2 linked regions of the Caenorhabditis elegans genome follow. The protein of the gene in region 1 binds, or shares a complex with, the protein of each later gene. Each region holds a gene or a part of one and is shown on either strand. Other genes may lie near its edges.

Evidence for each region. The genes of interacting proteins can lie anywhere in the genome.
Region 2: dys-1 (region 1) and dyc-1 share a complex: the UniProt entries of both Caenorhabditis elegans proteins name them as parts of the dystrophin glycoprotein complex.

What each region holds. Positions count from the first base shown.
Region 1 is NC_003279.8:11,554,697-11,559,944, forward strand, and holds the start of dys-1 (Dystrophin-1), read right to left. Parts: upstream 3,156-5,248; 5' UTR 3,097-3,155; coding exon 3,027-3,096; intron 2,092-3,026; coding exon 1,772-2,091; intron 1,607-1,771; coding exon 1,482-1,606; intron 907-1,481; coding exon 791-906; intron 1-790. Other genes in the region: F15D3.9 (SAM-dependent methyltransferase), read left to right, coding at 3,339-3,359, 3,725-3,949. UniProt on the Caenorhabditis elegans protein: Plays a role in cholinergic transmission and as a functional partner of dystrobrevin (dyb-1), necessary for muscle maintenance. Required for neuronal positioning. May play a role in the localization of slo-1 near dense bodies in the muscle.
Region 2 is NC_003284.9:14,047,769-14,052,676, reverse strand, and holds the start of dyc-1 (Dystrophin-like protein 1), read right to left. Parts: upstream 3,143-4,908; 5' UTR 3,006-3,142; intron 2,850-3,005; exon of another isoform or gene 2,829-2,849; intron 1,863-2,828; 5' UTR 1,850-1,862; coding exon 1,733-1,849; intron 1,513-1,732; coding exon 1,441-1,512; intron 905-1,440; coding exon 750-904; intron 705-749; coding exon 596-704; intron 1-595. UniProt on the Caenorhabditis elegans protein: Together with dys-1 and hlh-1, participates in a common muscular function.

The sequences.
Region 1 (5,248 bases):
TCTTTTATCTGTGATCTCTCGTCTTGTTACCTATATACTTAAAACCAAATTACGCGGAAAACATCAGTGTAGGTAGGCTTTTTACCCTTTGTTGCCTGCCTACCTATGTGTCTACTTTGTGCCTATCTACTTTTTTGAATGCCTACCTATGTACCTATCTTGTGCCTACCTACCTATTACGGGACCATGAGATGAATGCCTATTTACTGGCGCGAAAATATTGACAGGCCGCGGCAGCGAGAGAGCATATGGCGAAGAGAGACGCCGGTCCCTTCGCTACGAGATATTTGCCGCCAGAAAAGTAGGCATTCTCATGATCTCATTGTCCCGTAATACCTACCTACTTGCCTTCGCGCCTACTTATAACCCATTTTGACTTACCGCATTGAAGCTCTAACTCAAGTGAATTACTGGAAAATAGATAATTCAGTGTTGACAGTTCTTGTAGGAAGGAAAGTCTTCATCACTGCCTGCCTGCCTACACGCTTGCCTATCAGTTTTTTAAAACCTACTAGGCAGTCAGGTAGTCAATCTTGTGCCTAGGCGTAAAACTGCTGTAACTCGGCTCAAAATCTTCATTTTCAAATAAAATAAAAAGTGAATGATTTCAAAAATTTTCAAAAACTTTCAAAATTGAGAAACAAAAATTTTGACCGCAGCGGGGGGTCGAACCCTGGTATGTTTTTCCGTAGCTGTGCACCTATTCTCCACTAAGCCACTTTGCCCAAAACAGTTTTTTCGTGGTTTTTCAGCGTAGAATTCGATTTTTTTTTTGGTTAGAAATAGTAACCTTTTGGATTCAGAAGCCTTGGCACATTCCATGTCTTTTCAGCGACAGCAAAAGCGTTTTCAATCCTGTCGATGGCACTCATTTCGGCGGTTTTTGTGAGGTTTATCAGTTTTCGGCTGAAAATGTTCAGGATTTCGGGCTCGAAACTATATTAACTGTGTTTGTCGCACTGAGAGCTTTCATTTGAGTATAATCATGATTAGTTTTGGAAAAAGTTGAATCCCGCCACGAAAATCACATGGGTACTGTAGTTTTCGCGGCGAGACCCTCTCTAAAATTCTTTTTGATGGGGTTCTCGAGTTCTACACGCCGAAACCTTTCAAATGACACCCATATTGCTATACTTTAAAATATTAAATTCCAGGGCCTATGTTTTCCAAATTTGAAGTCCCAGTGAGTTTTCTAGGCCATGTAGTGAAAAGTTAGGCCACCAGCTTGAACATTTCGGAGCCTAGGCATTATGGGTGTCAAATAGACTGTAATGAAATGTTGAATTTAAATTTGATATTGAATTAAAAAAAAATAAGATTAAAAGTTGTTTTGGAAAATTTAGAATTGAAAAAATCCAAAAAAATGTGTTTTTTTTTTGAAATTTTTGAATTTTTTTTCGAATAAAACCATGTTTCATGGAATCTAGAAACTCTTGAAAAACTGATTATCAATAAATTAATTTCTAATGAAAAACCCTTACTCATAAGAATGTATGAGGTAATTGAAGGCATGGCCGTCCCGGAAGGAAGATGTAAAGTCGTAGACGTCAATTTCTTCGTATGATTTCATGACTTCAATGCACCATTGTTTGATGGCTTCGGAGAGCTGAAATTTGAAAATTTAATAGAAAAAATTCTAGGAAAAAAATTTTAAAAAAAATTTTCGAAATTTTTTTTTTCAAAATTTTTTATTTATTTTTTAATTTTTCAAACCCCCGTAACTTTATCAATTTTAAAGATTTCCACTTGATTTTACACTCAAAAAACTCACCTTTTCCTCCCGTAACTGCACGGGTGCATTATTTTTCCAGAAAAACTGAACAAGCTGCCACCAGGCTGAGAGCACCGCTTTCTGCTGCCCTTCCATAACTTCCTGCGGATTCGTCTTGGAATCCCCGATATTTTGCAAAACATTAGGCCAATCGTCGGATGGATTACCCAGTACAGCCATAGTCTGTCCAATAATTGCTTGGTAGACAAAAATCGCGTTTGAACCATCTTGAAGGCTTTTGTAATCGGTTAGACGTTCTGTTCCGAGCAGGTGATTGGCCCAGCGCACGAATACCCACTCTTGGAGCTCATTTTTTGGGTCTGAAAATTTTATTCATAGCTTTTAACGTTCAAATTCAAATTTTCCGTCAAAAACTCTACAAATCGGTTTTTGAAAAATCGAAAAATATGAATTTTGAGCAGATTTACAGTTTGGTGGCCTAGTTTTAGATTTCTAGGCCAGCAAAATTTCTAGATCAGCATAAAATATGTTCAACAGAGTATTGGTGGCAACAGTTAGTTCTCTTCAAGAAGTTTGCTAGAAAAATGGCATTTGTTAACTAGTGGCCTAGAAATCCAAATTCAGGCCACCCAATTTGACTCGCTGGCCTAGGTTTGCTTTTTCTAGGCCACAAAAATAATTTTTCATTATTACAATGCTTTTCACTGACTTCTGCACGTTCATAGCTTTCACATGACACCAATATTGCCATACTTTGGAAATTTTATTCCATGGCCTAACTTTTCAGTTGGTGGCCTAGAATTTTTACTTTTTTAGAAATTGCTAAATTTTATGAAATTAAATTTTAAGAAGCACACAATATTACTGTTTCACTTTAAAATTCTACAAATTTTATCTTACTGGCAAAATTTAAAATTGGTCGCCTAGAAATTCCTCGGCCACCAACAACTTAAAACTCCCAGAACCTATTTGAAATTCAATTTTTGAATTTTTGAATACTCCTAACAAGGAATAAAAACTAAGAACATTTCAAAAATCTGAGCGTCTAAAGTCCAGGCCCAAATGCATTTTCTCGGTCACGGCTTGAAAAGTTAGGCCACCAACTCAAAATAGTCGGATCCTAGGCATGATGGCTGTCAAATTGAAGGTCTCGGTAAGACAGAAACAAATATAAAATAAATGTATGCTGAAAACTATGTTGGTGGCCTGGAAAATCAAAAAAGGTAAATTTCTATGCCATTTTTCGGGGATTTTTCTTTTTTTTTTTGTCTTAAAAATTTTTCAAAAAACTCACCGCGATCACTTTTCTTGTCCTTTTTCTCGTCTTTTTTCGGTTTCGCAGTCGAGGCGCCCGAGAATAACATGGTGTTGTTGCACTTTTTCGTTCGTTTTCGCCTATTCTATACACCAATTGGCATCTGAAATTGGGATTTTTATTAGAAAAAAAAATTAAGTTGTAGAATATAAAATTATTTTTAAAAAACGTGGGGTTATTCTAGAAGTTTTCCAAAAAATAAAAGTTACGAAAAAAGAACGAAATTTTCTGGAAAATTTTTTATTTCTAAAAAAAAATTCAAAGAATTCAAAGAAAAAAATATTGCTAAAAATGAGTAACAGTGACAAAAGTGTAAGTTTTTCTATTTTAGTTTTTCTAATTTCAAAAAATTTAGAAAATTTGAAGAAAAATTTAAAAACGAAATATTGGTGGCCTAGTTTTAGTTTTCTAGGCGACCAATTCGAGTTTTTCAAGTAGATTTTTGTGAAGAGCTAATTGTGAGTAAACCCTTTAATTTGACAATATATTGATTTAAAATTTAAAGTTGGTGGCCTAGAAAAACATAGGCCACCAACGAAAAAAAAACCAAAATGGGTGAAGCTCTATTCATGTTAAATTTAACGTGACACATCAACATTTAAAAAAAAATCAAGCTGATTTTAGTGGCCTAGAGAACCAATCCTAGGCCAGCAACACAAGAAAATTTGAATTTCTAGGCCACCGAAGCCAGTTCTGCGAAGACAATTTGGACGCATTGTGCGAACGACGGGTCGGACAGAAGCATTTTATCCGATTGGATGGATCACAGTTTTGGAGCAGAAAAAGAGCACAATTTGGAGCATGATTTGACGGAATTTGCGCAAATTCCTTTTCGTTGTGCAAATGACTATGAGATTTGTGCGAAACAATCGGAATATGCATTTGATATCTCTAATTATTGATTTTTTCAAAATAAAAATTTTGAAGGAAAATACAAAAATTCAACAAAAAATATGGCTTGAAAAAACTGAAAATGATAATTTTCAGCCAAGTTAGAGCCTTGTGAAGTTGATAGTCTAGAAATTTTCTAGGCCACCAACTTCAAATTTCTCTAATTTGGCTCAATCATCTTGGGTCTAACAAAAACTTTTTTAAAATCATTTCAATAAAAAGGGATATATTTTTAAAAAAAGCATGTGGCCTAAACTTTTTCATGGACAAAGTTCTAGGCCACGAAATCGAAAAGTTAGGCCATGAAAAAGATGAGGCAAAATATGAGTGTGACTACTGAAAGTTTGGAACGTGTGTGAAATTCATCGGAAAAGTTGAAAGAAAAATTGGTGGCCTAGAACATCAAAACTAGGCCAGCAACTGAAATTGTGTGGCCTAACCAAATCTTTCAATTAAACATTCCAGAAAATCCTAGGCCATCTAATTCAAATTCGCAAAAAATGTTTTAATTTTAAGTTAAAAGAAAGCAACTTGAATTTTCGAAATTCTAAGCCACCATACCAAAAATGTCAAGCTTTTAAATTCAAGTTCGGCTGCCTAGAAAACAAAAACTAGGCCATCAAATATATTTTTAACAGACTTGGAAGCAATTTTTAACCTCAAAAACACAAAAAAATAATAACGGCACGTCTACCACACTCTCGTAGGAAATAGTAATGGAAAAGTGTGTGTGTGTGCTCCCGGAGCATTCCCGTGTGTGCACGAGGGGACCCCTCAATCCGTCAGCTGCCGTCGTCAGTCAATTGTTACAATGCACCATCCTCTTGGACATACCCCAACGGCATTTGATGATGATTCGGACATTTCCTGGGAGCTGCTACTTTTGCTGATGTGCTCCGCGAGCTCTACTATCAAAATTTTAGAGGGGACATTTGAGAATTGGGTTGTTAAATGGAACGGGTGGACAGTTGGTTTTTGAGAATTCCCAAACTTTTTTAAAAATAAAAATAAATTTCGAATGAAAAGCGGCTTTATAAATTTCCGAATTTTTCCGAAATTAGCTTCTCATTCGGAAAATCTCCCAAATAATGTTTAAAACTACTATATTCTAAAAAAGGGCAATGTTTTAAATGTTTTTGAGTAAATTTTGTATTTTTGAGTCGTCTAACTACAAAATTTACCATTTTAGAGGAGTTTCAAAATTGTGAATTTTTACAAAAAATTGTCAATTTTTGCCACTTTTCAATAGTTTTTGATGGGTTATATGTACCTAGATTTTCTGAATTCAGCATACATAAACTTACAGTTGT
Region 2 (4,908 bases), on another chromosome or scaffold:
CTTCGATAATTTTTGTTCAAAACGTTTGAAAAATACTTATTGCCACAAAAAATTTGAATGAGTCTTAGAGCTTATTATCATCTTAAATCACGAAATCTTCAGCAAGGTCTGTAGTTTTTTAAATGAAAATTGCATTTTCTTGATAGTAGAAAAATGTTTGGGTAGTGTGGACAAGTGTGTAGACAATTCAATTTTTCAAATTGAGGGGCATTTACAGAATTACAAGAGTAGTATCGCCAATATGAAAAAAAAATTTTTGAGTCGGATAATATTCTAAATTGTGAACAAAATCAGTTTTTCCGCCACTTCTCGAAAATGGGAAGTTTCGGAAATGTAACACCTGTGGGAACTGATTAACAACGCGTTGGGAAATTGTATAGTGATTAAACATCGGTATTCATTTCTATAAATATTATTCAAAAAAAATTCATGTAATACATACTTAATTGAAAACCACATAAATTTTCAAATTCGATAGTTTCACCATATACAAAAAATTCAACATTTTAACTTTTTCGACGCTCTTTCTAAAAAAAAATTTGATCACAGTACTACTTCAATAATAATAATAATAATATTGAAAATAATGACTAACCTTTTTAGAACACTTAAATACATTGCATTTAAATGTGTTACTAGCTCCATCCCGTGCAATGTAGGAAAATATTTGAAGATCTTGAGAATCATGTGACACGTAGAATATCCTTCAAAATTTTTACAATAACAATTTTACAGAAATTTAACAATACCTGTATATTGGGTGAAACATGACAAGTAATTTAGATTCATCCCAAGAGAGACCTTTCTCTTTCTGTTTCTTCCGCTGAAGAACAACTTTGACACCATCGACGGATACGGTAATGTCGACCGGGCGTTTTTTGATACCACGAGCTTTGAATTCGTACTGAAAATGGTTTTATTCAATAATCAAGGAATTAGGAAAATAGATTTTCAAAAGCGTTTTCTTCAAACACTTCAATTTGGTTGTTTAAGAAAAAGTCAGTCAAAATCAACAAATATGACACGGTCAAATTCAAATTCACATCGATGATATGCTTGTTCAAATATTGATTGCTTATGTTTCCTTAATCAACAAAAAAAGTTTTAGATACGACTATAGGTTTTAGGTAAAAAAGTATCAGCTTTTTTGCAGTGTGGCAGATTATTCAATCAACGCCTAGCATTTACTGACTTTAATATTGATTGATTTAACAAACGAAAAAATTGTAGAGAAGAAAACACTAGCAAGTGTAGAATTTGTAAAAAATTCAATAAATTATGATCTTTCAAAGTATTACGATTCTATTTTCTACACTACTAATAATAATGTTGCAACCATGTAATTATACAAATTTTAGATTATACTACTAATTTTCAATTGCAAATTTCAGCTCATTTTGAATATATCTCTATTTGCGAGTTTTTATAAAAAAAACTCACTCGAACTCGTCGCATCGCCGCCACAATCTCGATTCTCGTCCCGGGTCTAGGAATTTCCATGCTTCCGACATACTGCAAAAACCCTTTTTGGATTAAATCCAGTAGTTTTGTTTTTGTTTTCTTTTTGAAAGAAAAAAAAAACTAAACTTCCCACTATGATTAAATTTGCAAACGCGTTAGGACCAAACTTGAAGACAATCTAATCTACACCCTCCGGGCTTTTCAGAATATTCAATGTTCGTTTAAACAAGATTAGCGTTGTACAAACATTCGAATACATCTTTTCACAAACCTTTGCTTCGAAATGAATACCATGCTGATAAGCGAGTTCGTTATGGAGTGGAATACGGCAGTCGTAGACATCGTCGGCGATGATATCGTACGGACCATGCTTTTTCCGCACAGGCATTATATCCTCACCTCTGTAAAATATGAAATAATGATGAAATGGTGGAAATGTTAGTAAAAAAGTATTAAAGAAAAACGGTTAGAGAAGTAAAACAAGATGTTAGATGGTTTCAGCAATAAAAAACATGGGTGTTTTGAAGAAAGTGAATTTTAAACAATAATCAAAAACAAAGTGGTATTAGACACTCGGCAAATCGCTGTTAGTACGGGAGGACGTATGTCGATTACAAATTCCTTGTTATAAACATAACATGTTTAAAAAAACTGAATGAATGTCAATTTTAATAAAGTACAGAGCCTCTGGTTTGTAAATGTTTTTTATTAATAATATTACTGGATTGCGTTTCCGTAATAATACATCTTTTTTGCACTTTCTACTTGACCGAAATGTTTTCGTGCAGATGAAAATAATGAAAATTAAAATATTTACATGATACTACGCAAGACAACATTTTATCAGAAAGAAAATTTGGACTTTAAAACTATTTTCACGCAGAAAAGGCCATGAGGTTTCAAAACCAATTTTTTGTTAGGTTAAGATAGGGCTGGTAATCCAGAGGACTGGCCTTTCCGAATGTACTGATTTTCGGACAATCGGGCGTTCGGTTTTGAACATTCGTGGATTTATGGGAGCGTATATCCCGACATTTTTTTGTGTTCCGCGTCTCATTGTGATAATGCGTGCGTTTCTATAGTAAGCAGCGGAACCCAGAAAATGTCAGGATGTAAGCTCCCCTAATTCCTGTGATAAAAAAAATTTCCACCTTATTTTGCCACCCATGGTGACTCCATGTGGGCGGACGTCCAGATGGCCAGCCCTAGGTGGAAAAATAACAAAAGTTGAAGTAGTGCCAGAATGTTATTTATGCTGAAAATCAGCAGAAAAAGAGATAACATTTTCAACAATTTTCCGAATGTATTGATATTTTAGTCCATGTTTTAGGTACACTATTAGAAATTCATTTTAAAAATTACTATGCTTTCAACTGTAAATTAACAAAGATTTTTTGTGCACTTTGAAGAAAATTGTTAGTTTCATATTCTGACTTTTCAGCCCCTAAACAACTTTCCTACTGATGCTACTCCGTTTCTAAATGGACAATAAACACTTGTTAAACATTTCTGAAAAAAAACGCTCACTCAAAACCGTATCAAACCTTCAACTGCATATCGAGTATATCAGCTACCATGAGCCAGTATACTACGAAGCAATTGTCCGATATCAGGACAATTTGGATATCGTATTGAAACTGGTGGTGACGTTGGAAAACGTTGGGTGAAGAGGTGAGGTTCGCTGAAAACTCAGTGATTAAGCTGCTAAAAATGACAAAAAGGGCACACTATGAAAAAAGAGCAAACGAGGAAAAATAATTGAGTGATGATGAGAAATGATGAGGAACAATGGGCCAAGTAGATGGGGGAGAGAGGAAATGAAAGAAGAAATGAATAACTCATGCGGCAACGCAATTTTAAACACTAAAACCAAATATTTTTGCTTCTGATCATTTTCCTGGAGGAAAAACGGATAAGGGAGTATTGAACAAAAGAGCAAATGCAGAGAAAAGTGTAGGTAGTGTAGCTAAAAGGACTTTTAAGGAAAGTGGACTGACCAAAAGTCCGTCCGCAAATTGAATATGAGAATGGAAACAGGAGGAAAACGGAAGCCGATGTTAAGAAGGAGGGAAAGAAGTTTAGGATGATGGGGGGGGGGGGGGGGGGGGGGACAGAAGAAATAGAAGAAGTTGCGAGCCGAACAAAACTGGAAATTGGTTGGTTGGGAGACCGATGAGCGAGGTTCCCTGGAGACGTTTTCAAATAGGAATATAAAGATTGAAGATGTGTTGAGAGAAAAAAATAAAATAAAAACGCAAAAAAAGAGGAGGGGCGCCTACAAAACGGCTACAAATATGATTGTCAGTGCGGGGGAAAGATATTTCTACTTTCATGGATTTGAAATGAATAAATGTAATGTTATATATATTATACAATACAAAACTTGTGTTACTGTATTTTTCAAGTAGTTCCATGCTTTCATATGAATTTTTAAAATTACCATTATTACTAACACAGCACGTGATGGCAAGCGGTCTCATTACGATTTGATTTACAAAAAAGGCGACGTCAGCACACCTTCAAAAATGCCAAAAAAATCTGTCGAGAAGTCTGCGTCTAGATCCCCGCACATTCCGTAGATCTACGTAGATCAAACCAAAATGGGACACTCTGACACCAAGTGACACAACTCTTATAAACTCGTTTCTCTGATTGATTAGTTGAAAAAAGCTGATAGTATTCACTACAAAAGCAATGATACAAGGAAAATTAGTGCAATATCAAACATTTCGGATTGGTACAAGTAGAATGGCATACCAAACCATTATCGCAATGCATCTAAAAATAATTCAAAAAAAAATTAATGTCAGTTGAATTTCCAACATTGTGACAAAAAATGTGGTGTTAATTATTTTACGTGGTTTCGTATACTGAAAAACTGTATTTATTTACATGTTGATGTCAATGTGAAACATGATAAAAACAAAAAAAAAGCTTCACTATTTAGGAAAACTATATGAATTAAAAAATTACACATAGTTTGCGATTGGGAAACAAATTTCAAAAAAAAGGAAACCATACTTTTTTTTAGATATTGGCAGTAGCATAATGCACTAGAGCAAATATACGAAGTTATATTCTAGAAATTTGAAAGAAACGCAACAAAAATCAAGATGAAAGCATGCAAGTTTTGCTCTTTATATATCGTCTCATCACCCGTTCTTCTGCGACATTGGAAGCAATTATCCACACTATCACTCAGTTCCTAATCGATTTGAAAATAGAAAAAAAAATCGGAAAATGGAGGACAAAACAGGGGCAAAAAGAGAAAAGCGGTCGGCGGGGAAAAGAAAACGAAGAAGCGGTTGCGTGTGTGCCGTACTCTCTCATCGTCTTGTCTTGCGCAATTAGTTGTGATTTTAGGAAGCATGCGTGTGCATGTATGGGTGCACTTGTAGCTGATTGACTTATGCGCATCTCCTTCTTTGATAGAATTGCCGAGTAGAA